Linked DNA regions of Tamandua tetradactyla. The protein of the gene in region 3 purifies or fractionates together with the protein of the main gene of each other region. This does not show direct contact. Links are inferred from orthologs where the notes say so. Each region holds a gene or a part of one and is shown on either strand. Other genes may lie near its edges.

Evidence for each region.
Region 1: the proteins of USP15 (region 3) and TUT1 purify together in Homo sapiens (affinity purification with mass spectrometry; 4 studies listed by BioGRID and IntAct, with this or other methods). This does not show direct contact. The link is inferred for Tamandua tetradactyla from reciprocal best matches to the Homo sapiens genes USP15 and TUT1.
Region 2: the proteins of USP15 (region 3) and SMAD2 purify together in Homo sapiens (affinity purification with western blotting; 4 studies listed by BioGRID). This does not show direct contact. The link is inferred for Tamandua tetradactyla from reciprocal best matches to the Homo sapiens genes USP15 and SMAD2.
Region 4: the proteins of USP15 (region 3) and GLUL purify together in Homo sapiens (affinity purification with mass spectrometry; 3 studies listed by BioGRID, with this or other methods). This does not show direct contact. The link is inferred for Tamandua tetradactyla from reciprocal best matches to the Homo sapiens genes USP15 and GLUL.

What each region holds. Positions count from the first base shown.
Region 1 is NC_135335.1:11,968,534-11,975,684, forward strand, and holds the start of TUT1 (speckle targeted PIP5K1A-regulated poly(A) polymerase), read left to right. Parts: upstream 1-4,150; 5' UTR 4,151-4,507; coding exon 4,508-4,589; exon of another isoform or gene 4,590-4,603; intron 4,604-6,020; coding exon 6,021-6,211; intron 6,212-7,151. Other genes in the region: metastasis-associated protein MTA2, read left to right, coding at 1-24, 130-269, 532-760, 930-1,019, 1,387-1,505, 1,614-1,756, 1,993-2,158. UniProt on the Homo sapiens protein: Poly(A) polymerase that creates the 3'-poly(A) tail of specific pre-mRNAs. Localizes to nuclear speckles together with PIP5K1A and mediates polyadenylation of a select set of mRNAs, such as HMOX1.
Region 2 is NC_135344.1:35,188,646-35,195,853, reverse strand, and holds the start of SMAD2 (mothers against decapentaplegic homolog 2), read right to left. Parts: upstream 3,022-7,208; 5' UTR 2,922-3,021; intron 2,858-2,921; exon of another isoform or gene 2,818-2,857; intron 2,677-2,817; exon of another isoform or gene 2,580-2,676; 5' UTR 2,492-2,579; intron 1-2,491. UniProt on the Homo sapiens protein: Receptor-regulated SMAD (R-SMAD) that is an intracellular signal transducer and transcriptional modulator activated by TGF-beta (transforming growth factor) and activin type 1 receptor kinases.
Region 3 is NC_135333.1:129,774,084-129,781,084, forward strand, and holds the start of USP15 (ubiquitin carboxyl-terminal hydrolase 15), read left to right. Parts: upstream 1-3,982; 5' UTR 3,983-4,052; coding exon 4,053-4,141; intron 4,142-7,001. UniProt on the Homo sapiens protein: Hydrolase that removes conjugated ubiquitin from target proteins and regulates various pathways such as the TGF-beta receptor signaling, NF-kappa-B and RNF41/NRDP1-PRKN pathways.
Region 4 is NC_135330.1:37,223,904-37,230,758, reverse strand, and holds the start of GLUL (glutamine synthetase), read left to right. Parts: upstream 1-3,832; 5' UTR 3,833-4,005; coding exon 4,006-4,028; intron 4,029-5,542; coding exon 5,543-5,721; intron 5,722-6,855. UniProt on the Homo sapiens protein: Glutamine synthetase that catalyzes the ATP-dependent conversion of glutamate and ammonia to glutamine.

The DNA.
Region 1 (7,151 bases), on a different chromosome or scaffold from region 3:
GCTTGACCTGCGAGAGCTGTCACAGTGAGTTCAAGGGAAGGACTCGGATGCCAGGGGTGGGTGGGAGGCCTGCTTTGGCTTGAGAACTCTTTCCTCCTTGACCTCCCACTCATCTCTATGTTTCTGCAGCCACACAGTCTGCTCAGTGGTATGCCTGGGGCCCACCCAACATGCAGTGCCGCCTCTGTGCTTCCTGTTGGATCTACTGGAAGAAGTATGGGGGACTGAAGACCCCAACCCAGCTTGAGGGGGCTGCTCGGGGCACCACAGTAAGAATTGATGGCAGACAGGCAGGGGAGAGGAGTAAGCATGATGATATGAGACTTAGAAGGTCAGAATACCCATTTCTTTATCCAGTGATGGCTTGCCAGGGAAAAGGGGGCAGAGCTGATAGTGGTCAGGGAGCCAGTAGTTCGGGATGGCAGTAAAAAGGTGAGGCAAGAATAAATTCACCCTCTGCAGAGAATGGAAGAAAGAAGGGAGTCTCGGTGCTGATTTTCATTCTCCCCTTTTCCTATGCCCTTCCCCCAGGAGCCACACTCGAGGGGTCATTTGTCCAGACCTGAAGCTCAAAGTCTCTCCCCCTATACGACCAGCGCTAATCGGGCCAAGCTGCTGGCCAAGAACAGGCAGACATTCCTGCTCCAAACCACAAAGCTGACCCGTCTTGCCAGGCGCATGTGCAGGGACCTGTTACAGCCAAGGAGGGCAGCCCGGAGACCCTATGCCCCTATCAATGCCAATGCCATCAAGGCAGAGTGTAAGCGCAGGATGATGGGGCTAGTGACGGGGTCGGGGTTTTTCTGGCTCGAGACCAGTGTTTCTCTGCATGTTTAACGACTGTAGTCTTAGAGGTTTATTAAGAGATTGGACATGGCTCCTGGTCTCAGAAGTAGCTGAATAGTGAAGCCTCAATCTTTGTGTTCTAGGTTCCATTCGACTTCCTAAGGCTGCCAAGACTCCATTGAAAATTCATCCTCTGGTTCGGCTGCCCCTGGCAACTATCGTCAAAGATCTGGGTATAGGATGGGCTGCCAGTTAGGGTGGGCTCAAGCTCTGGCTCCTTTTACTATAAGAGTAAAGTAGTACTCCTCTGCTTTTTTCCCCCATTGAATCCTAAAAGATTTAGTTTAACAAACTGTACTTTTATAGCTTAATAATGGTTTCCCGTAAGCTATACAGTGTTACCACACTGACTTGATAAGGTTGCAGTCCTGATCTCTGAAGTACTGGTAATACCTCTCCAGACCCTCCCTATCACTCCTTTTGGCAATGCCTGGGAAAATTGCTGCCACAGGGAAAGAGGTGGAGGTGAGAAAAGGAAACTGCATAGGGGAAAGAAGGTGGCAAAAGTTTTCTAAGTTTTCCTTTATTTTTTCCTGGCAGTGGCCCAGGCTCCTTTGAAACCCAAAACCCCTCGAGGCACCAAGACACCAATCAACAGGAACCAGCTGACCCAGAACCGGGGCCTGGCAGGCATTATGGTGAAACGAGCCTATGAGACCGTGAGTTGGCAGACTGGGGCTGGCCAAGACTAACGTGGGTGGGTTTTTATTTCTGGTAGGAGCCTCAGAGGGCCCCCACCCTCATTGTGCTGCCACACCCCTTTCCAGATGGCAGGGGTCCCCTTCTCTGCCAATGGAAGGCCTCTGGCCTCAGGGATTCGCTCAAGCTCACAGCCAGTAGCCAAGCGCCAGAAACTTAACCCAGCTGATGCCCCCAATCCTGTGGTGTTTGTGGCCACAAAAGATACCAGGTAGGGAACCCACCATGAGAGGGGCTTAGAGGTTGATGAGCCAAGTGGGTGGGTATGGGAAATAAGAACCCAGCAAGACCAGCGTCAGAAAGACTGTGGGTGTGGGGTGGGGAGTGTGTATGTGTGTGTGTTAGAAAAGAATGAACAGGAAGGCAGAACTGGAGGGTGGGGTTTCTTCTTGGGGAGTCTTAGCCTTTCTAAGCTCTCTGTATTCCTGTCTTCATCTTTCTGGCCAGGGCTCTGCGGAAGGCCCTGACCCACTTGGAAATGCGGAGAGCTGCCCGCCGACCCAATTTGCCCCTGAAGGTGAAGCCTCCGCTGATTGCAGTGCGGCCCCAAGTGCCTCTACCTGCACCTGCACATCCTGCCAGCACCAATGAGCCCATTGTTCTGGAGGATTGAGCATCTGTGGGGAAGGGAAGTGGGCTGAAAGGTAGAGGGTGGGTCCTCAGGGCACTCAAACCTCCCTTCTCTCTGGTATCTAAGAGAGTGTGGAGGGAAGGAAGAAGGGAGGAAGCAAGTGTGGGCGTGTCCCTGGAAGAGAAAGACGCCCTCTGGTGTCACCACCACTAAGCTTGTCTCCTTCCCATGCTTCTCCAAGCCTGGTGATGGAGGGCAGTCTGCAGGAAACTGGCCCTTGTGGGGAACCTGGCCTCTTTTGGGGGGATAGGACCCACAGTTTGTCTTGGACAGTTTTGGGGGGAGGGTTTTTTAATTTTTTAAAAATTTTGCCTCCCTTTGTGAAAGGGGATGGAGGGGAGGGGAAGAGTAAACAGGTATCAGGTGGCAGTACCTGGTTGGGGGAGGGGGGCATGCGCTGCCATGTCTATCTTATTTTTATTTTTTTTCTAATTGGGGGTTTCTCTTCGTGTCCGGTGTCCGGACTTTCCTAATTGGAGTTTGAGGCCCCTAAACTGGCATCAACCCCAGCCCATGCTCACTCTTTCCTTTCCTCTTCTCCCCTCCCCCCTTCTGCCTTTTGTACACCAACTCAGAAATAAAGATCTTTTGTCTGTTTTTTTTAATCTTGGAATTCTGTAATTGGTTCTTATAGTAACAAATAAAAAGCTGTTTTCTTCAGTCCCTCCAGGCTCAGCTCTTCTCTGCCATAGATGTAGGGAGGGAGGTCCAGGAGGGGGGGTGTGGGAAAATAAAGGACAAAGAACAATAAAGGAGATACAGATTGGGCTTGCCCTGGGAACCACTTCTTTATGAGATTATGCACACTGGACTCAGGCTGTCTACTCCAGCCAGCCTTCTTGTAGGACACAAACTGCTCCCCTGTTCCCAGTGGTGCTGGAACTAATGGACCATCTTGGCCCAGGTTCAAAGCAGTTGGGATGAACTGGCTCTCTGGGCGGCTGGTGGCTTCCACAGGAGGGGGTTGTGAGCGTGGTCTTTTCTCTGTTTTCCCAATTCTTACTCTTCTCTCTGCTCAGGGAATTCTGGGAGTTGCTAGAGGCCAGGGGATGTAGTCCACTCTGGAGTGTACCGCAGGATCCTACTACCCAGTAACGGCTGTTCTCACACACTGCTGCTTCAAGATCTTGAGGGCTGGTCTCAGCAACTGCCTAGCTATGAGGGCCCACTGTCCTCTGCGGTTTTAGGTTTGGGTGAAGCCCAATAGGAAGAATACTTTAGGAGAGAGGACAAGGTCAGTCTGTGTGTGCTTTGGGCACTCCTTTAGAGATGGGGAGTGGCAGTTGTGACTTGGTCAAAGTTACAGACCGCAGTATGCCTGCCTCAGGTCCGCTGCTCTTTCCACCATCCAAAGGTGGGGGCTGGTAACCACAGCACAAGCTGTTTATCCCATCGAATGGTCCCCTTCATCCACTACACGAGGAGTTGGCTCACACCTCCGAGGTGTTAGGGGAGGAAGTGAACACTATGCCAGTCTGGGGGTCAGCAGCACATCCCCCCTCTACTGTCCTCGTTCGGCTGCTACCACAGCTGGTTCCTGCGCACTGCCCTGTTGTGGGCCGGAGGTTCTGCAGCCTCCTGAATATACACTGCGGAGGTCACTGCTACGGAAGGCAAGTCGGTGCAGGGACGAGCCTGGCCCACCCGGGCCGCAGCGAGTGATCGCCGGAGTCCGGAAGGAAAGCGCACAGAGCTCCCACCCGAGACTAGGAGGCGGCTGCCGCACACCCATTTTCGGGGGGAGGTCCGTGGACGGAGGGAGAGGGTAAACGCCCCGAGATTGGGAGTCCAGGGAGAGCCGTAGGCTTCGTGGGCCCAAAGCGTGGAGGCTGCCCATCCTCCGCCTTTATTCGCGGGGTGGATGTGGGGCTGGATGTGGGCACCCGCGCGAGGGTCGCGACTGCCCCTTGAAGTAGCGGCTCACGACCGGCGGCTCACGACCGCAGCCCCGCCATCCGGCAGCAGCAGAGCCGGCAGCCGCAGGGGACCCAGTCCCCACTCCCGCCCGCGCCTGCCTTGGCAGCTGAGTTAACAATAGCCACGATCCTCCGGACCAATCAGCGCCTGATCATGCAGAACACACCAATCGGCTTACCGAAAGCAAGATAAGCATCGCAGAAGGGAGGCTTTTCCTAAAGCCGGTGGCGACTTCGTACAATCAAGAAACGGAACCTTGACCTCGGTTTCCGGGGGGAACGTGCCCGAGCGAGTGCCGATTACGTCACTTCCTATCAGACCGGCGGAAGTTGTTTTCCAGCGCGTTGTGATTTGGAGGAGTGAGTTCCGGTGGAGGCAGGAGCGGTAGATTTTTGTCGGTACGTGAGAGGCGCAATGGCGGCGGTCGGTTCGGACGTCCAGTCGCTGCCGCGTGGGGCTTTCCGCTGCTGCCTCTGCCAAGTTACCACAGCTAACCGTAAGGGGTGGATAGTGAGGGGGAGGGGATGTGGCTGGGGTCTTTAGTCTTTTGGCCCCAGCGAAAGTTAGGGTTAAAGGTCATTGTCCCTGTCAGGTCGGTTGTTGGAGTCACTCACCTCCGTTGTCAAAAGCCACCTCCCGACCGAAATCCCCACGAGGAAAGTTCCATTGTTTTCTCTCTTTCTCTCTCTCTTTTTTTTTTCGCATGGGCAGGCACCGGGAATCGAACCGGGTCTCCGGTATGGCAGGCGAGATTTCTGCCACTGAGCCACCGTCGCACCACCCTGTTTTCTATTTAATAGTGATTTATTTAATAGTCATCTGTGCCTGGTACTTTGTTGGGTTCTGGGGTGAAGGAGGGGATTTAGAGATGAAGGAATTGAGCATCCAGAGAAGGAAACCGTTTCAATACTCTGTAGATAATGTCTGGAAAGCTGTGGATAACAGAGACAGCAGCAATTGGGAGTCAGGGAACCCTTCTAGAGGAGCTGCCGAAAGCAGGGATGTGTGAAATAGCATGGTTATGTTTGTGAGATTCTGCATGACTGGAGCGTAGAGCACCAGCAAGCAAGAAGATGAGTTTGGAAATCTAGACAGGGTTCTTGCATGACTTTCAAAGGGGTTGAGTGAAACCTCAGATTCTATTGATGAAGTCTAGAATCATAATCTTGCCTGTAGAGAATCTTCTTCCATTCTTCCCTCTCTGTGTGGATGACACTATTACTATTTGTCCAGTAGGGCAAGCCAGAAACCCAGAAGTCATTAAATCTTCCCTGGCTCCATACCTACCTTGGTGGCACTAAGGAGCAGACTTAGATATAATAAAAATAATAATAGAAGCTATCTTTTTCTACATTTACTGTGTACTTGACTCTGCCAGTTGTATATATGAATAGTACCAATGTGGGTAGGTATATTATTATCCCCATTTTATATCTGGGAAAACTGAGGCACAAGAGGCTCAGTAACTTGCCTGAAGTCTCTATGGCTTTATAGAGCTGGGATTTGAACTTGGGCAGTTTGGTTCCAGATCTTGCCCTTAAAAGCAGTACATGCTAAGTACCCAGAAATGATTCATGGGGAATAGTCCATAGTGCAGATTAATTTAATTCTTTATATGACCTGGATAAATTGCCTGTTAATTGCTATACATTTTTTTAGGTGCCACTGTACCTAGCACTTATGGATGTTTTAAGAAATATTTATAGTGTAGCCACTTCCCCAAAGAACCACTTAGAGAGTGCAGCATATAGAAAAATGAACAAGAGAGGAAGATGAAAGAAGAAGGGGACCAGGACTTTTTTTATTCAGAAGTTACACTTTCTGTGGCTTTGAAGGGTCAGTAAAGGTTTAGGTGTGCAGAGAACAAAAGCAGAAACAGGTACACTGAAGAGTGATTTGATGTTTTGTCTCATACTTGCCTTTGCAGGGCCCAGCCTAGATGCTCACTTGGGAGGCCGGAAGCACCGGCACTTGGTAGAACTACGAGCTGCCCGAAAAGCCCAGGGACTTCGGAGTGTGTTTGTCAGTGGCTTTTCGCGGGATGTGGATTCTACTCAGCTTTCTGAATACTTCCAGGCATTTGGACCTGTGGCCAGTGTCGTCATGGACAAAGACAAGGTAGAATGCATGACTCTGGGAATGAAGAATGAGTCTGATGTGCTACTTCCCAAAAGAAACCCGAGAGAGCAGTTGCTTCAGCTGGTTTCTCATATGGCTTGTCCTTGATGGGATACCACAGTATTTGCCCTAGTCCAGCTTTGCAAACTCCTCCCCTGCTTGGAGTTTTATCAGTTCAGAATTAGTCATTAGGAGACTTGTCATTATTTATTCAATCAACTTTTATTCACCAAATATTTATTTGTGTCAACTTTGTATTAGGCACTGTGCATAGACTTGCATTCTGGGTAGTGAGCTGGGATAGGCATGGTTTCTGCTTGCCCAGAGCTTACAGTCTAGAGGAGAAAGGAGACAATTAAAACAGGTGCTTTAAGACTATACCATCTGGGGACCTATCCTAACCCCACAAGAGACTGGTTGGTAAATCAGTTGTCAGTTTATTACTTTACACTGAGAGGTACTGAGGTTATCTGGTCCGAACATCCTGCTCTGGTCAGTGCTAAGCAAACAAACTTGTTCTTTGTGGTCTTGCATTCATGCAGACCTTTTGTCATTGTCCCTTTCATCCCTTGAAAAAGATTTACTGTTGGAATGTTGCTCTCTTTGATCAAATTGTAGTTCTGAGTCTGCATTTTGGTTAAGTAGATGTGGCTTAGGTGAGACCCAGGTCTCCTTTGCAGCCCAGGTCTTGTCTTAGGATGGGATCTGCTTTTGTTAGAGATTGCATTCAGCAACCTAACTTCAGTGGCTTAAACAAGTGAATTTAATTTTTTTCATACAACAAGAAGTCAGGCCTGGGTAGTCCTGGGTTTTAATGCCTGCCTTTTCATATGCCTTCTAGCCATTTGTATTTCTTCTTCTGATAACTGTCTATTTTTGCCTCTTGCTCGTTTTTAAATTAGATTGTTTGTTTTTTTGTTGTTGAGTTGTAGAATCTCTT
Region 2 (7,208 bases), on a different chromosome or scaffold from region 3:
AAATTTAAAAAGCACCTTTTGCCAAACCACCTTTGTTCCCATTAAGCAGTTTTGTTAAAGTGGATGCTTGAAACATATAAAGCCATCCCCAATTTTCCTACTTAAGAGGAATACATACCAAACCTGACTACCCTGCATAGTTCTTTGCAAGACTAAGGTGTTGGTAAAAAGTATAAAAACCAAGCTCTTGGGCGGTGCAACACTGGCTCAGTAGCAGAATTCTTGCCCGCCATGCCAGAGACCCAGGTTCAATTCCTGGAGCCTAACTATGCCAAAAAAAAAAAAAAATAGCACTTCCTGAGAATTTCTTACTAAAACAAGTTTTAAAATGGTTGTTTCAAATCACATTACATTAATTAAAAATGGCCAATGAATTTCTCTAAACTCAATTACATCCAATAGATTTTAACATTAAGAATGTTATGTACTTCAAATGATGAATGGATGTACTGTAGACTACTATTCAGCAATAAAAAAGGAACAAAAAACTGATAACATGACTCTCAAATGTGTAAGCCAATGAAACTGGACTAAAACAGCTACATAACACATGATTCCACTGACACGACATCTGGAAAAGACAAATATTATGGGACTAAAAAACAGCGTAGTGGTTCAAAGGGGTTGAGGCTGATTTATAAAGGTGTAGTATTAGGGAATTTTTTAGGAGTGATGGAACTACTCTTTATCTCGAGTGTGGGGGTGGTTTACTACAAGATACATTTGTCTAAGTTCACAGAACTGTACACCAAGAAGAGTGAATTTTATTATACATAAATATTTTAAAGTAAATTAATTTTTTTAAATTCAGATAAAATAAAAGACAATGAACTTCCATTCTCATTCAGGTTAAAAAAAATAAAAAGAGGGCGGACAACAGTGGCTCACTGGCAGAGTTTTCGCCTGCCATGCCAGAGACCCAGGTTCGATTCCCAGTGCCCGCCCATGTAGAAAAAGTAAATAAATAAATAGAATACAGGTGGACACTCTTCTTAAAAATGCTCAAAGACATACACTATTTTTATTTTCTACAAACTACAAAGCAAATTTCATGGTGAAAACCAAGAAACTCTAAAAATTTACTTTCTGAATTCAATGTAAAAACTGTGCTAAATTACCTTTTGGTGGAGGAAATCCTTTAAACAACCAATATAATTTCCTAAGGCAAATGAAAAACTCTCAAACTACACACATTTACAAAATCCATTTTCGCTTATACCTCCCATCTCTCGGTTATATTGGCTTCACTTATTCACACATGAAAACTGTTCAAACTTCATTTAACTATTAATCTTCTATGTAAGTGGGAATTTTTTTAAGGGGATCAAAACTCCAATAATAGCAAATGTACTTTCGGCTTAATAATAGCAGATTTATTGTCTTCTTAGGTTCAAAGAAAACATCGGTACTATCAGTGATACAGGTTCAATTCAAATGTCAGAAGGGAGAAGAAAATGAAAAGGAAACAATATTAAAGTATCATTTTAGAATTCTAGAAATTCCATTTTCTGGGACCATTTTTGAAAAGATGAAATTACTTCAAATAAGTTTGCAAGACTATTTACTTACTTATTTATTAACAATTATTTTACATATGTAGTTCTAAAAGTTAAAACACCAAACTAGTATACTTCAAACTGTAGCAAACAAAACATGATTTTGATGGACGATTCATTTTACCCGGAGACGTTTTTTAAATAAAGACAACAAAACTGCAGTATTTGGATTTTAAAGAGTCAAGAGAGGAACGAATAACAAAACCAACCTAGGTATTGTTTTTCTTTTGTTTGGGATCAAAAGGAAACCATAACCGCATAAAAGTAAAGACAAAAGTACGCGACCCAAGGGCAGCACTCCCCTGAAGAGAAGAGATTAAGGTTGCAATTTTGAAAACCAAGTTTCAAATACGTGAAATCAATAAGCCTATTTTTTAAAGGCATGTGCTAAAAACTAATAGCGTCTACTCACAGAGCAACTTCCACAAGTGAGTAAAAAACGATCTCGACAGATTAGCCGTGTGCGTGTTCTTGTGAGAAGAGTACCCAAGAGCCATTCAGAACCCGAGAGTATTATGGTTAACAAAGGTTACAGGACCAGGAAAAAAGTGGACGCAAAGTAACACACGGTCCTAACACGGCTTCACAACTCCTGAAAGAAGAGAGCTATGTCCCTTCGGCTTTAAAAATCAGAACCGCAAACCATCAAGTGTGTTACGAGTAGAGGGGAAAGGACACGATCGGCCCCCGCCCCGGACCAGGCTGGGCCGGGAAGCTCCAGTGCGCCGAGCTGTAAGATTCGGTCCCTGCCCTCTCTGCTTGTCCCTGGCCCCCCTGGTATCCGCACTCCGGAGAGACCGGCGCACCCACTGCCCCAGCCTCGCCACACCCCAACCCCCAACCCCCGTGGCCATGTGACACGCGAATTTCACCGACCCAAGCCAAACACAAACACACCCCTAGCCCCGAGGGCCCACCAGGAACCGAGGCTTTACCTGGACGGAGGCTCCAGGTCCCGCCCAGTGAGACTCGGGGGGGTCCGGGACCTTTTGTTCCTTCCTCTTCCGAATGGGATGGAGGGGGCTGGGAGGGGAAGAGGGGAATGGTCGACGTGAGGCGGAACTGAAAACACGCTCCCCGCCGCCCGTCTTCCCGCCCCGCCCCCCCCACTCCCCCGGCCAGTGCCCCGCCGGCAGCCCGGCGTGCGCGGGGAGGGGTCGCAGGGCCACGGCCGCCGCCCGCCAAGGAGGGAGGAGGTGGGGACGCGCGCGTCCCGCCGCCGCCCCTCCTCCCCTCACGCGCGCTCCCGTATCCCTCTCACGGGCCATCGGGCCGGCCGAGCCCTCCCCCGCCGCGCCCGCCGCCCCACCTCCGCTTCCGCCCTCCGCCCTCGCGTCGCCGGCCGCAGCCGCGCTGCGTACCCACCTCCCGGCGGCTCGCTCGGCGCTCGCTGCTGCTGGCTGGCGAGCTGCTCCTCCGCCGCCGCGGCCGCGCGGGTAGACCCGCCTCCCACCCCGGGCCGCGAGCCCCGCCGATTCGCCGGCACAGCCCCGGGGCTGGCACCCTGCCGCCCGCTGATTGGCGCCCCCACCCGCCTGTTAGGGCGGAGGAACGCCGGCCGAGTGGAGCGCTCCGCGCGCAGAGAAGACGGAGGGAGCGGCGGAAAGAAGGAGGGAGGCCAGGCGCCGAGGGAAGAGCTAGGGGCGAGCAGGGCACGGAGAGTTGCGGGCCACTACCTCCCCACCTCCCTTCCCTTCGGCCCTCCCCGCCCTCGCGACTGGACCGGCGGCCCACGCAGCCAATGAGCGCGCGGGGTAGCCGGGGTGTGAGCCGCGCGTCGGGTGGCTTGAATCGGAAGGGAGACGTCGCTCGCTGATTGGTCCCGCCTCCCTCGTAGAGCGTGAGGCGAGGCGCGGCCGGGCGGGCTGGGGACGAGGAGGGGTTGGACGCAAGCGGTTTCGGCTGATTTCGTCTCCGGCACGCTCCCAGAAAAGACTCCAGGGAGGGGAGGGAGGAAGTAGAAGGCACGTAACCTGCCGCGCTGGGAAAATAATCCCGGCGACCACCCTTCTCTCTTCGCCTCGGCCCCGGGACCCTTTCCGCCCTTCCCCAGCTTCATGGGGTGGGCCCTGCTTGGGGGCCGCCGCCTGGTGCACTTTCCTTAGTTAAGCCGGGAGTGGACACGTGCTCATTTCTTGGGGAGGCTGGGGCCCGCCCTGAGGCTTGGACGAACACGGACAGAAGCGGGCTAGGAAGAAAACCCTAGGATTCGGCCAGCGCCTGGACACACCCACAGGCGAGGGAGTGGGCGGGGCCCCTCGTGCTGTGCGGCGGGGGCGGAGTCCGAGTGTAAATAAACCGAGAGCCTGGGATGCCGTTTGCGTTTAGCGTGAGGGGGCCAGGTGTTTTCCTTTAACCTGAATCTCAGTTTCATCCTCGGTAAAAATGATGCTACTAATGCACTCTCTGTGCAGTCTTTGTGAAATCTAAAAGATAAGTCCCCGGCACGATGCCTCAGAATTGTTGGGTTTCCTTGCCTTGCTGTTCATTTCTCCACTGTTCAGGCGCTCCTTCCGTAGTGCTTTCAACTGAGATATTCCTAGGCCAGACTTTAGCGCTTCTGCGCTACCGAAGGCTGCAAAGTTCTTAGGCTGCACACTGCCCAGGACTGACAGGATTTGTCTATTGCTTAGGGACACCCAAACCTCGGCTCACGAAAATATTGAACCTAACACAATACGTCAAGTATTTCTTAAGCGCCTCTCTCTTAATTGGGGAGCACCGCAGAACTAAAGTTGAAAAGAACCTCAGATCTCACAAAAGTGGCAGAGACAAGACTAGAACATAGTTTTCTTGGCTTCCTGTCCAGCACTCTATGTTATCATTCATGGATTTAACTGGGAACTCAAGCGGAAAAGCATCCGTAGCAATACAAATCAGTAATCAAGAAGTACCAAAGGAGCATTTCAAACACTAAGCGTTTTGAAGGTGTACTCTTTAATCCCAGAAATGAAGGCTACTCGGAAGTAGGGGCCTTCAGCTGGACCTGGAGAAATGTTTAGCCGTTACTTCTCTGAGTCTTACAGGTTTTCCAGAGTTCCTTTCAAAATCTCTTTCATTTCCACCACCTCCTCATGCGTGGAAGTACTTTTCTCATGGAAACGTAGTGACGAAGAGCCTGAAACCTGGAGTTAAATTGTCATTTTGAGTACAGCTCTGTTCAAGTCTGTAATCTTTGAGAAGAAGAACTCACTTGCAATGATATCTACTTAAATATAATTGTGTGATGAATAAATTAATAAATATGAAAGTGAGTAGCATAGTGCTTTGAAGTTAAAGTCAATAAATATTAATTTTCCTTCCCTTCTGTTGCCTGCATGTATTTATGCAAAGATGAGCCTACTCAGTAGAAATCCTTCCTCCAAAAATTTACTAACAGGGTGGTATCTTACGCTGTTAGTTTAGAGGCAGCTTGACTCAGCCCTTATTAAAAATAGCTAGTGAAAGAGACCCAGGAAGCCAACTGGTGGAGCAGTCCCACCTATGCCTTGTTTCCAGCGGCCACTGGGGAAGTTGGTCTAGGGCAAAGGGAGGCGGTTAAATGACAACTAATACTGGCCGTTCAATTTTGAAATAAGGTAGCTTGTTTTTTGGTCCTTCTTCCTATTAATGCAAGTCAACAGTTTTAATATAAAAAAGCCTTAAAAAGCTGCCTTGCCCTCTCTCTAAGCCAACTCCAGGTGAACTCATTGCCTTCCCCCCCTACATGGGACATGACACCTAGGGGTGTAAATCTCCCTGGCAACGTGGGACAGGACTCCTGGGATGAACCGGAACCCAGTATCATGAGATTGAGAAAGTCTTGTTGACCATAGGGGAAAGAAAGAAATGAGGCAAAGTAAAGTTTCAGTGGCTGAGAGATTTCAAGCAAAGTTGAGAAGTTGTCCTAGGGAGTATTCTTATACGTTATATAGAAATCCCTTTTTAGTTTATGGTGTATTGGAGTGGCTGGAGGGAAGTACTCTGAACTGTTGAGCTGTGTTCCAGTAGTCTTGATTCTTGAAATGACTGTATAATGTTAGAGCTTTTATAGTGTGACTCTCTGATTGTGAAAGCCTTGTGTATGATGCTCCTTTTATCCAGGAAATGGACAGATGAGTAAAAAGAAATTATAAAAAATAAGTAAATATAGGTGGGATAAGGGATGAAATAAATCGATAGATTGAAATGCTAGTGGTCAATGAGAGGGAAGGTAAGGGGCATGGGATGTATAAGTTTTTTCTTTTTTTATTTCTTTTTCTGGAGTGATGCAAATGCTCTAAAAATGATTATGGTGATGAATATACAACTACATGATGATATTGTGAGCCACTGATTGTATACTATGTATGGACTGTATGTGTGAAAATTTATAAAAGTTTTTTTTTTTTAAACTGATGAGTCACATGAACGGTCTCTCCCATGTTAGCAGGGTATGGATTTCCATGTCCACCTGGGTGAGTAGGGGTAGGAACAAAAGTAAACCTGGCTAGGACCCCAGAAGAATCTGTTCCAAGTATGGGGAGGAGAGAAAGGGGGAGGAGTACGTTAGTTCAATAGGTAATATGCTTGAGGTCTCAGTTAGACCATTTCTCCAAAGTGTCAGATTTTGGGTTCCAGCTCTTTCTAGAAGGCCTTCTAGGATTTGTAGGATTGAGGAAAGAGGATGAGAGACAATCTGGCTACCAATGCAGTCCCCAAGGGTTTAGATATGGTAGCATGTCAACTGTCCTCTCTGCTAGAAACATCTAAACCAAAGTGGGTCAAGACAGGAACTGAAGTAGATGGGGCAGGGATTGCCATGGCAACAATCAGCTTGGAAATTCACTAGGGTACTTCAAATCTCTTAGTAGGTCTCTATTGTATAAATTATATTGAACGAGTCTTACTTTTATATTTATAGATACCAAGCTTAACCCTTCATTGTGCATTACACTGCAAAATCAAAATCAATTCAGACTCTATTTACAGGTAGTTGAATACACTGGAAAGACGCGAGAAAAATGGTAATGGTGATTGGTTTTCAGAAAGAGCCTGAGAGTCATGAGTGGAAAACTAAAATTTCATCATTAGTTCTTCTGTAGTGTGATTTGTTTTTTAAACTGTATCTCAGTGTGGTTCATTTTCAAAAGATATAATTCATATCTATTTCCTCTATGGTAAATCTCTAAAGCCCTTCCCTGGCTTCCCCAGCCCAAACTTATATCACCTCTGAACTCTTTCTTATGGTCAGAATGGTGTACATGACTTCTCTTTGATTAATGCCTTGATCTGTTAGTTTAGTCTTGAGCAGCTATTTAATTTTTCATGGGTGTATATTTTGTCTCCCCATTTAGATTATAAATTCCTGGAGGACAAGGACAGCATCTTATTCTCATCCTTATTAAAATGCTCACTAATTGAAGAAGGTGAAATACATCATTTGTATAGCAGAAAAATGCTGTATATCCTCGGTCTGCAACATCTTCCAGCGTTCTACACAGTTTTGCCTCATCCTTACTGACCCATTTGTTCATCGTAGTGGAAATTGTTACAGTGAGCATTACTATATCTTAAGGAAAGATCCAGGTAGTTCTATTGAACTGTGTTCCAATAGCCTTGATTCTTGAAGATGATTGTATAATGATACAGCTTTTATAATGTGACTGTATTATTGTGAAAACCTTGTGTCTG
Region 3 (7,001 bases):
ACAGTCCATGGTTTAACTTAGGGGTCACTGTTTATATAGTGCAGTTTCATGGATTTAAAAAAAAAATTTATCCTATGACCATATATATATATATATATATATATATATATATATATATAACATATCCCTTTTAGCCATATTCAGATACATATTTCAGTGCTGTTAATTATGTTCACAATGTTATGCTACCATCACCACCATCAATTACCAAAATATTTCCATCATTCCAAATAGGTGCTCTGTAAATTTTTTTTCAAGAAGATAAAAACAAAGGTAAAAAGAACACCAAAAATATACCATCCCCCATCCCCCCATTGTTTATTTTTTTGTCTTTTTTTTCTTACTCATCTGTCCTTACACTGGATAATGGATAATGGGAGTGTCAGTCACAGGGTTTTCACAATCACATGGACAGACCTTAAAAGCTCTATAGTTATTCAATCATCTTCAAGAATCAAGGCTTTTAGATTACAGTTCAACAGTTTCAGGTATTTCCCTCTAGCTACTCAAATATACCAAAAAGTGAAAAGGGATATCTATATAGTGCATAAAAATAACCTCCAGAATAACCTCTCAACTCTATATGAAATCTCTCAGCCATGGAACCTTTATTTTGTTTCCTTTCTCTTCCTCTTTTTGGTCAAGAAGACTTTCTCATTCCCATGTTACCAGGGCCAGGCTCATCCCCAGGAGTTATGTCCCATGCTGCCAGGGAGATTTGTACGTTAGGAGTCATGTCCCATGTAGGGAAGAGCGTAGTGGGTTTACCTGTGAGTTAGCTTAGAGAGAGAGACCACATTTGAGCAACAAAAGAGGTGACTTTTGGGCGGACCATGGTGGCTCAACAGGCAAGAATGACCAGGGTTTGATTCCCGGTGCCTGCCCATGTAAAAAAAAAGAAAAAGAAAAAAGAGGTGACTTTTAGGCATAGTCTTAAGTAGGCTTATCCTCTTCTCTTGTAGGAATACATTTCATAAGGGCCAGCCCCAAGAGCTAGGTTAAGTTTTTTTGTTGTTGTTGTTTTTTTAACATGGGCAGGCACCAGGAATTGAACCCAGGTCTCCGGCATAGGTTAAGTTTTAAATGGACAAGAAAGGTACAAAGGGTCTGTGAAGGCAATGAGAAACACTTAAGCAAATAATACATTCTTATAAAGTTGATTAAGGAAAACATCAGTAAAGCCACACAATCTAAATAATCAAATGTAGCCTTTGATTTATATTCTGTTATCTGTGTGAGTCAAGGTCAAATAATTTTTCTCATAAATTATCAACTTAGCTATTCAGTAGGGATGTGGACCTTAATCAATTCAGTATTTACAAACATCTCATTTCTCTTCATAATTATGTTTGCAAGTAGAACCATAAATAAATAGGCAGAATTTTCATAAATTAGTAAACTGAGATCACTAAAATTTTAATTGCTATAAACAAGATCATAAAGGTAGCTAGAAAAATAGAAACTTAACCAAATCTTTTAGATGCTGGGGCTAGACTGCTTGGGTTCAAATTTAGGTTCTTTGCCTCAATTCATCATTTATAGAATGGGGATAATAGTGGGACCTACTCATACCACTATTGGTACTTGTATCATGTTTAGAACCATGTTTAACACTTTGTAAGCTTGTTAAATAAAATAACTAGTATTTGTTTCCTGTCTCTGATGGCAACTGGTTAGGTGTACAATACAACCTCATAAATCTGATGTATAATTCAAATTTACAGTGAATTTACGCATCTATAACCAATTAACTCAGTTGCCTTGAACATGTGTAAATGAGGACAAAATTATTTTACTTTGTTATATGAGTTCAGGCTTCAATATTTCAAAAATACATCTTCTTTGAAGGGAAAATTGGACAGCAAAGTGTGAATGGTGCATCACTTTTTGGTTATGTTATGTCTATAAAATGATAGGGAGGAGTTTGCCTTCAAAATTCTTAATGCTTTTTCCACCAGTAAACAAAGCTACTATTTATTGACTGGTTATTATATCTCAGGCAATAAACATGTGTTGTTTCATTTAATCCTAATAAAAATCTTTTAAGGTAGGTATTTTTATCCCCAATTCTAAAACTACAGTAAAGGTTAGGTACTTTGCAGCAAGAAGCTGAAGTGAGGTTTGAACTTAGGACCATGTGATGCTAACATTCTTTCCATGTCATGCTGCTTCTCTGTGAAAAATTATTTTCTTTCAGAGGTTGGGTGAAAAGGGGGAAAATGTAATCCTTTCAGGGTACTTATCTATTCAGTAGGGATGTGCACCTTAATCAATTTAGTATCTACAAACAATATCTCATTTCTTTTCATAATTATGCTTGAGAGTAGAAGCATAAATAAAAGAAGCAGAATTCTCATTAATTAGTAAACTAAGGTCACTGAAATTTTGATTTCTATAAACAAGATCATAAAGGTTGTTAGAAAATTAGAAGCTTGCCTAAACCAGGTAAGTTTGGGGACTCTGGAACCCGAGTCAGCTTTAGTTATTTTTCTAGCCCGTCCATAAAAAAAGCCAAATAATGTAAGAAATAGCAAAGGCTGGAAGCTGTTTTCAGACTCTCAAAAGGATGACATGATAGTGCACAATAGTATTACTATGCAGAAAATAAGCAATCATAATGCTGAAAGACACAAATCATAATGCCAATATGTACTACTTTCACTTGGGAAGGTTTAACACTTCTTATTGGCATAATTACATCCATCTTTACTGCATTCTCAGCAAATGAGTTAAAAATGGGAAAATGAGAAAGATCATATAGGGATTTTCATCATCTTTTATACTTTTCACAGCATTATGTTATCTTAATCCCAAATCTATGGACATCTTCATCCTTGAAAGATTGAAACAGTTTTGCAACAATTCATTTATTAAACAAATATCTAGAAGGAAGTTTTGTATTAGGCAGCGCTGTACTAGCCACCAGACGTACAGAAATTTGGCTTTTTTTTTAAAAGATGAACCCAGTTCCAGCCCTTGTAGAGTTTACATTGTAAAGCCAGTTGTGCTGTGATTGTGATTGTGATTGTGATGTGATGGTGTGATGTGATGTGATGTGATGTGATGTGATGTGATGTGATATGGTGGAAAGCACGTGCGTTTTAGAACCTGGGTTATAAACTTGTCTTTCCACTTTGCTGGCTGTGACCTTGGCCAAGGCCTTTCATATTGAGAGACTCGATTTCCCCAATTGTAACATAACTGTTGGCATCAAATAATATTTGATTGGTCTTATTTCTAGTTTCATTTCAGGTGTATACACCATGGAAAGATGAGGCTAAGAAAAGATTACCTTCCGATACTGAGGAGACAGGGCTAACTCGCACGTTTTATTATCATATGGTGCTTGGCATTATTGAATACGTATTTTATGCCCTGTTCACTGAGGAACTGGGACATGTTTTCCACTGCAGCTAAGCTGTCTGGGTGCGCCTGGAGAGGCGTCACAAAAGGTCCCCACCTGCAGCAGGAGTAAGCACCTGGAAGGAGACCGAGGAGGGCTTTGAGGCCAAGCGTTGTTGTCCTGTCGTCCTTTGTTTTGGCCAGTATTCACCGAGGTCGAGTTCCGGGACTCGCGATGAAAAGACAAAAATCAGGAGCTGATAAAATTTTCTGCCAGGGATTGATTAGCCGTCCCCACACCCCTTGTCCCACCCCACCCTACCCTCTAGCGTGAGTGAATGCGCTAATAAGGGTTTTCGGGCTTTCGCGAGAAAGAGGGCAGGAGAAGGCAGAAGTTGAGATGGATCCGGGTATGGCACTGCTCAAACGAGAGAGCCTCGGATACCCGGCGGGGGAAAGCTAAAACCAGGGGATCCGGATGGGCATAGGTAGTGGCGGAGGCAGGTTGCTGGGAAAAGGGGGGACGATGGGGGGCAGCAGACCACGGCCGCGTACTCAGTGCACACTCCCGAGGCGTACCCCCCTCCCCTTCCTTCTCTTTTGGTTTCGACCTGGCGGCTGGGAGGGGCCGCAGGACGCCATTCCCATAATGCTCTGGGGCTTACCGCCGCCGCCGCCGCCTCCGCCTCCGCTACCGCTAGTGGAAGAAGATGGCGGAAGGCGGAGCGGCGGATCTGGACACCCAGCGGTCTGACATCGCGACGCTGCTCAAAACCTCGCTCCGGAAAGGGGACACCTGGTGAGGAAAAGGGGTTGAGGTGTCCTCAGTTGCCCAAGGATGGTGGGGAACTGGGTCGGAACCATGGGCTGGTGTCTTTGGCTAGTGACAGGTGCGGGCAGGTTCGGCGGTGGCCGCCCTGGGCAACAGGATTTTGGCCGCTCCCGAAATGTTGGGGCAGGAGATGTGGGCCAGGGCTAGTGGTCTGTCGGGGCGTGCTGAGTGAGAGGTGTGTGGAAGCCGTATCTGCGGCTCGTGTAGTTCTCTTCGACCTCCTTCCCTCCGTAGTGCCGCTCCCACCTCGGGCCTTCGCGAACGATAGGTTAGAGTCGTTTGGCATGAGTCTTAACAGTGTTTTGACAGATCCCGGTCCTGCGATTTATCACGGTCTAACCCGCTTTATTTCTCCAGTCGTTTCCTTTCCTGGCATTGTCGGCATCTGAGTTTGCTCTTATTTTGATTCTTATATTCTTCCGGAAGACAGGATGCAGGATGCAGGATGTTTGCGGTTAGTACTACACAGGTGGCACGTGTCAGGGCACCAATTAAGAGAAGGAAACCCTAGTCTAAAGGAGGAAGAGAAGTAGGGAACCTTAGGCTTATGAGAAGTGACCACGTGGTCTTCTGCTTCAGTGGAGGCTCGTTAGAAGCCGGCTGCGACTCTTTGGAAGTGCAGCTCTCCCCTCCAGTTTCAGTGATAATGTAGGCCTGCAAAAAGTAGATAAGGCTTAAGTAACGTAACAATTTACAAACTTATGAAACACCAAAAGGAAATACACTTAAAATGCTGAAGAAGGTGTGGAGACTAATACCTTTTGGCCATATGAAGTGGCATCCAAAATAACATAAATTTGTGAATATGTGGCATAAAGATAAAATGCTTAGTTTATTGCGATGATGAGAACAAGCATGCCTTTTTTTTATGATTTGTGTATATGTGTTTAAAATAAAAATACAAATACATAATTTTTCTGAAAACAGCTAAGGAACATACTGTATTCATTGTGCTTCTTTATAATAATAAAAACTTATTTTCATTTCCTACTGTCACTATAATAATGGTATATAATTTGCAGTGTTTTTTTCATGTACTTTATTATGACTTTTAGTGGAAGGAGCATATGATTTAGACCTGAGTTATGTTACAGCTCCACCACTTAACTTGTGGAATGACTTTGGGGAAAGTTCATTTAAATCATTGCACCTCAGTATCTTCATTTAGGAAATGGACAATAATAATTTCACTATAGGGGTTTCATCTTGATTTAATTAAATATTCTAATTTCCAAAAGAGACATCAAGTTTCAGTTACCGTCTTATCTCCTCTCTTGAGAATACACCTGTGGTATTAGTACCATTTTCAAGTAAACTGGTGGATGGCAAACTTGGGATTTAAATTTAAATGATACGATGTAAATCCTGGCACTATTTTTCTACTTTGTCAGACTGCATACTATTTTTTTTATATAACAAAAATTCCTAAGGGTGTCAAATATTTCTGTTGCAATACAGCATAAATTATAATGTTTGAATGAATTTATAATCGTTGTTCTTCAAGTTGGAATGTTCCTAAGATGTTTATTACTGTGGGAAAATGGACTTTGGCCTGTGTGCTTTTAAAGGTGAAATCAATCCTTGATTCCTTTGTATATTAAAGAACATTTAACAATTCTTTATTCATCTAGTCAGTTACCCCCGCATAAAAAAGATAAATGTGGATTTCCTTATAATAGAAATATGTAAGTTAAAATTTAGATAGTATTGTTTCTTTTTAGTCTTGTCATATTTTTGATACACTGAGTAATAATTGGTGGTGTTGACCTTAGAGGATGATACAAGTGCTGAGTGTATTGTGGTCATTAAACTTTTAAGTGCGGCATTTTTTCAAATGAATGTATTTTTGCTTTTTATTTACAAAGTTATTGTAAATCATTTTAAAGGGTAAATACAGGTGGTCTATAAACTTGAGTTATTTCAATGGTTTCATTTTAAGAAACTGAAGCCCAGATATTTTAAGTAACAGCAGAATGTGTAGGTTTTTATCAAACATTACTTTTCCCTCTGAATTAAAGAAAAAAAAAATGACAGGAACTATGTAGTGCTGGGCAGTTGCAGAAACCAGTTTGGTTTATATGTGAGCCATTTTACTTGCCATTTAGCAACTGAAACCTGGCAAGAACTTTAGAGTAAAACTCTGATTTGGTCTTTTAAGGAAAAGTATAGATTTGATCATATCCTTAAGTTCAGGACTGGTAGAGATATTTAATTTAGTTATTACTTGGGCTTACATATTGGAACTCAGTAAAAAGTTAGATTTCTCTTTTTAACGTCTCTTTTTAAAAGTTTCAGATTAGTTTTTTCTGGGTATTTGGTCAAAGCTTGTTTGTTTTAAAGCTGGAATGGGCCATATGCAAATGAACATTGGCTTTGTGTGTGTGTGTGTGTGTGTGTGTGTGTGTAGGATAACCATCTTTGAAAGACTGGGCTGGGCGGGCCGCGGTGGCTCAGCGGGCAAAGTGCTTGCCTGCTATGCCGGAGGACTTCGGTTCGATTCCCGGCCCCAGCCCATGTAACAAAAACGGAGAAACAGAATACAATAAAACAAGAAAATGTTTAAAAATGTTTCCCTTTCTTCCTTCCTTCCTTCCTTCTATCCTTCCTTCCTTCTCTCTGTCTTTCCTTTAAAAAAAAAAAAAAAAAAAAAAAAAAAAAAAAAAAAAAAGAAAGACTGGGCTATTGGGGAAAAAATGATGGGTTTACCATAAGTTTATTTCTGAAACTTAAATACAGATGATTGAAGTTATAGTCAAATGCATTAAAAAGAATACATTTCACCGATGAGTGTATTGTAGTACTCTGGTAACTCTTAATACTTAGTCGG
Region 4 (6,855 bases), on a different chromosome or scaffold from region 3:
GACTTTCTTCTGCTTTTTCTTCTCTCGTCTACGCTTCAGCTTCTCTGGGACTCCTCTGGGCCCTAGTTCGGCTGGTTTAAGTAAGTGTGGGGTTGACCAAGGAGGACAAGGCCTCTTGTTCACTCCTGAAAGAGTGAGTGGCCACATATTATGTTCCTAAGCCTCACAAAGCATGCCCCTGGTCACATGAATGGATCAAAGCAAATCCACTTCCATTCCAGGAAAAGCAGCTCAAAGCACATGTTCTCTTGATGGTGCCGCTGTCATTGTGTGAGGTCAACAAACATCATTTATTGAACACTCACTTTGGATACCGGCAAGGGATATGAAGATGAATAAACTGCTCAAGGAGGTTATGACACCTAACAAGGGAAGCAGGCACTTGCCCAGCAAAATAAACCAGAAGCTGTATTTGCTTCTAGTAGTCCATTTTCTATCACTGCCATCTCCTAATGGAGGGAGGGGCTGTGGTGATGGATGCAGTAGAAAGCACTGGTTTATATCTCTGGTAGTTTTGGCATTTGGAAATTAACATCTTTTAAAATAAGAACATCACCTCTTCTTACTCCACACCCATCCCCACCCCCACCCCCGGCCATTTAAATTCAAGGCTTTACAGAAAGAAATGGAATTAAGACAGCTTACTCTGTTCCCAGGTAAAGCATTACACTGAGTCAGAAAGTTGTTTTGGTTGGGTATCAATTGAATGGTCGCTACAGGCAAAGAAATAATCCAGTCTCATCAGATCATCCCGGGCCTGTCACTGCTGTAACTAGGGTGGACTAAACATTTACTGTTTTCCAAGTACTATCCTAAACACTTTTGCATCTGTTATCACAATTAATCCTCACACTATCCCTATTAAATTTTTGTTATTCTATTTTATAGGCAAGGTAACTGAGATTTAAGGAGGTTAAGTAACTCGGCTGATACAAAGCTGTTAAAGAGATAAAGCCCTGATTTGAACCTACGTTTGTCTGACCCTAAACCCTGTCTTTAACAATGGCACTATAATGCTACAATGTGCAATACTGAAATTTAACATGGAATCCCTTACATTTGTAAGGTTCTATACCCAATCCAGGATGTCACCAGTCTGAAACACACCAAACGCCCCCGCTGGACGTGAATGCTACATTTGTCATTTAAAAGCACTACAGTACTCAGATGCACTCTTAAAGGAAAGGGATGTTGACCAAAGAACCCAGGTTATGTTTATGGTCACCAGCAACGTTTCTTTTCCATGTTTGTGGTACAAAAAACAACCAGAAGAACAAACTTCTTCCTTTCGTGTCCCAAAACCACTGAAAGCATAAATTCTCGGTCTCAAAGACCAAGACTCAAAGCCTGAGAAAAATCTGTCTCAAATGTTAGCACTTCTGGAAAAGCAATAAATTCACACCTCCAGGTGAATTGGGGGCAATAAAAATAGATTAACTGAGTAATAGTAACTGGTAGAATGCAAACATAAAATATTATTTTTTGTAGTTTGCCATGATCGTGCATCTTTGGCAAGCATTTTCACCATTGAGTTTACACATACATTCTCTCAACCATCACAGAGAGGCTGAGGAGAGAGGGGGTACGTATTCCAATTTACGGATTAAAAAGAAGGAACAATAAGTCACCTGAAAGGCAAAAGAAAAGAAAAATTGTTTAAGGAATGCTAGAATGCTATTTTTTTTTTTTTTTTTACAAACTCTGAGCTTCGAAGGGGTAATTGGAAGATCTCCGTTTCCTCTCAGTGCACTTGGGATCAGCTTGCACATAGAATTTCAAATCTGGTGGGTGGTTCTAAAAGGTCATCCTCTGAACAGTTTTATTTTGCAGATAAGCAAACTTGGGCCCAGAGTGGCTGGGTGACTTGCCTGACAAAGACGGTATCAGACAGGTCTCCTGACTTTGTTTCCACCGCCCGCCAAAATCCACTCCATGGAACGATGATTAAAACTGTGCAGTAACAATTGTGTTCTCTTTCCAAAATTTCCTGAGACAACCGGGGAGGGGGGCTGTCCTAGGGTTATGAACCCCGGCTCACCTTCAGGAGCCCCCTCTCTTTGCTGCCCTCTTCCAGGCCCCTGCTGCACCCGCCGTCGCCCAGGAAAGCCCAGGGCTTCCCGGCACCCGCACCCCGCGCTCCCTCTCTAGCGTAACGCGAGCGCGCCCCGAAGTAGGGGCGGGAAGGCTCTCTAACAATAAAGGCCAAAATTATTGTTCAGTGGCTCAGAATTTCCAACCGCAACTCTGGGGCCCGCGGTATGACATCGTAAAGGAGGACTCTCCTTGCAATGCAATCGGAAGGCAGCAGGGGCTGGCGGTTTTCTGGGAACCTTCTGCCTCGGGGGGAGGGGGCTGCAAGGGCCGCCCCGGGTCATGCCGCGGTTGTTTTGCTCGAGCCGACTACAGGCGGGGTCCTTTCTCGGCAGGAACTCGCGCCCTCTGCACGCCAGCAGCCAGCCCTTCTTTTCCTTCCCTCCGCCCCCTCCCCCACGCCCCTTTCTCTTTCTTTCTTTCCCGGGCTCGCTCCCCCCACCCCCGCGGCGCCTGCACGCCTCGTCGCCCAATGGCCACCGGGCTCGGGCGCACATCAGCTGATCTGTCCGCGCTCCCGGCCGCTCGAAGCCAATCAGGGCGCCGGGGGCGGCTCCCGGCCGCAGATAAAGGGTGCCGGGCCCGAGGGGACCCGGAAGAGCCGAGAATGAGAGAAGGGTTCAGCGTGTGACCTGCACACCCGGCCTCCTCTCACTTCGCTCTCGCGGCCTTCCCTCCCTCTGCCCTGCCTGCTGCACAGGTAAGGTTCCCGGACAGCACAGAAGGGACGCGCGCGGGCCCCGCCGCCTGCCCCTCGGTGGCACTAGGGGCCCTTCGTGCGGGTTTGGCTCCTTCTCACCTCCTGTCCTCACTTGTGCGCTGTGACCTCCTGGGCTCAGGAGGTCAAAGACGCCCGGGCCTCCCGCGTGGCTCCGCCGTCGGCGATTCCCGGAGGGTCTGGGTTGGCGTTTTGGGGGCGCGCCTTTCTCGAGGTGTTTTGAGAAGGGGAGGAGGTTGTTCTGATCTTCCTTCCGCTGCTCGCGGCCCAGAGGGACGCCCAGGAGACCTTTCAGCGGGCGGGACCGTTGAGCCGCCGGCCCTGGGCGCGGTGGTGGGGTTTGGGCTGTCGGTGGAGCCGCCGTGTTCCCGCTGCAGGAACGCACGCGGGGGCGCTGGGCAGGCGCGGGGTCCACCCTCTCTTCTCGGCGGTGGCAGCTGTTGGGGGGGTGGGGTCCTCGTGGTATTATCTTTTTGACGCCCGAGCGACGAAGCTCGTTTAACCAGGAGTGTAGTGTTTGCGCGACCGGCTCCTACCACCGAGTCCCGGGGGGAGTTCTGGACCTTCCACTTGTGACCGAACAATGAGGAGCCCGGGGCCGCGGCTAGAGGCGAGTCCCCGCGGAGGTGGCAGCCGCACGCCGCCCCTCCCGCCGACGTGCCCCGCACCCCCTCCCCTCCGTCCCCAGCCTCTGCCCCCGGAGGGGAATGGCCCCCTCGGTGAGTCCCTGAGACCAGGACCGGGGCCGGAGGGGCGGGGGCCCGACGTTTGGAACACTTCGGGGGGAAAGGACTGCACTCAAAGTGGATTCCAGCTTCGCCGGGGGCGGGAAGCGGGGACGCCCCCCCAGCCGCAAAGCCGAGAAGAAGTATGATGCGGAAGACACAGAATCGCGGTCCTCGGGGTCCCCCAGCAACTGCTTCGGTTTCGTCGCCTATTCGGTGAACCCGGGAGAGAAATCGCGAGTCAAGATTAAGACCCTGACCCACCAGCCCGCGTATCCCAGCACCACCCGGTCAGAGCATTCTCCGTGCCCTGCCCCGTCCCCTTCCCCGTGTCCAACCCCATCCCCCTGTCCATCCCCGTCCCCAACGCCCAGAAAGCTCCGGTGCTTGGACCAGCGAGAGTCCGAGAACGAAGAGAGGCGTGAACCCAAGTCAAAAAAGAGGACTCATAACGAGGGCCACCCCATCGATATGGTTAACCTCCTATGGCCGGGGTGAGTGAGGGGCAGGGAGGAGGACTCCCCAGCTGGTGGCAGCTGCAGAAAGAGCTCAAAGATTTAAAATTTAAGCTCTGCGGCAGCACCAGTTGCTATTGTACAGCAGGCTGCTGGCAACCTACCCGGCTCATGGGAGAGAGAACAAGACACTTCACCCGGACTGGAGAGAAGCATGGCTTGATGTTGGAGGTGTATCAAGTTAGGAGGAAAGCTAAAAGACTGAGTTCTCACTTGTAGTTGGAGCTGAAGGGATCAGAGATTCTGGTCTTTCGGGGGCGGGGGGGGGGGGGGGTTGGTTGGGGGCGTGGAGGGTGGCATTTGACCTACCAAATCTCCTGCAATAGGCAGAAGTATTGGTTTTCCTCCTATAAGACTTGCCGGAGGAGGTTCTCCTCTAACGCACAGGGAAGGGTGAGGCTGTTGGAAGGAGAAGCAGTTATGTTTTCAGCTGGGCAAACATGGATGGTTGCCCGCAGAAACTTTGCCACTGTACTTTAGAAAGTTGCTCAAGTCATTGGAGGAGAACAATGTGTTCCTTTGCAGCCACCCTGGGGTTTGGAGCAGGGGTGGGGTGGAGTGTGGAGAACATTTCCTCTAACCATCCAGGCCGGTTCTGTGGCTTTGGGTTCTCTTCTTTCCGAGGTCTGGTGGTGGCGGCTTGCAGTTTTTAGCATGCATCAGACCTTTCCAAATCCCAGATCATGTTGGTTTAAGAAGCGAGAATTCCCTTATTATTTAAAGTTGGCCAGTGAAATCTGAGAATATTGTGATTCTCACTTTCTGAATTAAGTTAGACTTTGCATTAGACCAGTGGAAATTATGGCAGTGTTCCCCTTAGAATATGCCTTGGATCAGCTCTTCTATCTTGGTGATATTGGTAACTGCAGTCTTGCTTTTAAGAAGCCTCCAGCCTTTTAAATCTTTCTAGTGAAGGCCCTTGTTTAACCCTCAAATCTAAATGCATGTTGTTGAGGGGGATGGGGAATCGCCAAAAAGGGGTTGTTATAAAAACTGCAACTTAGGTGAAGGAACACTCACTGGACATGATAGCAGCCAAGCTTTTCTGTGGCTAGATATTATTTGTGTTGATTGTATCTGTTTTCTAAATTTTCTCGAGTAGAACTTCTGTAGTATCTTAGCATAAAATGTTTTAAAACAATTCCCCTACCTGTGCTGAGGGGAGTAGAGCTTAATCTCTCAAGCCCCAAGGATGCTGAGAGGCCTCAAGGCTTATTGCCAAGGGCTTTTCTCTTGCAAAGTTGATCGGATTTTTACAGCCTAATACTATCAGGAGATTTTTGACTAATATAAAAACGTTGATCCTCTTGAAACCAGAGTGAATAAATACACCTTTGGGTGTAGGATTTCCAGTGGAAGGGGCTGCCCCCACCCCACTCTTCTCAAAGGGAGCATCTGCCTTGGATTTAAATTTCCCTCTTGAGCCATCCCTGCAGGGGGTTCAGTTTGGAGTCCAAAGATTGGTTTCCAGATGTTCTTCTTTTTCTCTCCAGAACACCTTCCACCATGGCCACCTCAGCAAGTTCCCACTTGAACAAAGGCATCAAGCAGTTCTACCTGGGGCTGCCTCAGGGCGAGAAGGTCCAAGCCATGTATATCTGGATCGATGGCACTGGGGAAGGACTGCGCTGTAAGACGCGCACCCTGGACAGTGAGCCTAAGTGCATAGAAGGTGAGAACTGGGCTGGGCTGGGTGGGCGCAGTACGGGGGGTAGGCTTTAGACCAAACTACTCAATGGGACCTCTTTATTTTTGTGTTTGTAAAGATTTTCTAAGATGGGCCTTTTCAGGCCTCATTCAATCAACATTTATTAACCTCCTACACTGCCTCAAAACATAGCAATACTCGAACCCTTTATTTAAGTGGAATCTCGCATGTAGCCCAATATATTGAAGAAAAATAAAGGCTCAGGTTTGAGCCTGAGCTTTGCCAACTTGGCTGTCCCTTAGGTGGCACCCCAAGGAGCCCAGTTGGACGACCATTGCTTTAACCTGAATACGCCATCTAGTTTACAAACTGTTGAATGCTTCGTTTCGTATTCATGTTGTACAAAGCATATACCCTAAAGTGGTTTGTGAATAGGACTAATCATTCATTTGTTTTCAGTTAGTACCGCTTTTGGAAATTCTTAAATCATCTGATTTGCTTATTCCACCTCACTAGGTGCTGCTTTATTAGAGTTGTAACCTTCAGTTTTTCTCCTAAAGGAAGCCATAGCCCTGCCCCTTCTAGACAAAATCCAGAGAGAACAAAAGAAAATATCACCTCCCGCCTATATTAGGATAGCGTATTCTTCTGATAATGTTCACATGGGAGTGAATGAGTGAATGAACTACCATAACATAAAGTATACATTATGTGCCTGCTACATGGCAGCTGCTGGACTAGGCACTGGGAAGGCAGAGTTCTGGGTCTGTCTTCAGAAAGCTCATTGTTGGCTGAAGGGACCCAAAAAACGGCCTTTAAAACAGTGGGAAAAGTGCATCTGAACAGATGGTCTTTCCTGTGGTAGGGTGGATACGGAAGCAATCCTTGAGTAAGTTAATAAGGACGAGAGTTGAGCTGAGACAGTCCATAAAGACCAGTGGGGGAACAATGGCTGGTGAACTAGTGGGACGATCAGAAAATTTTGTCTTCCCCTGTCTCAGTATTTTAAATGACTGACTTCACTAGTGACATCAGATTTCAGTGTGTCTCCTTGGTGTGCTGTAGGCTTATTTAGGGAAGAGACATTCTTTTGACTGTAATTTCCTTGAAGGAAGTGATGCAGTCATCTTACTGTCCTTGAAGGAAGTGATGCAGTCA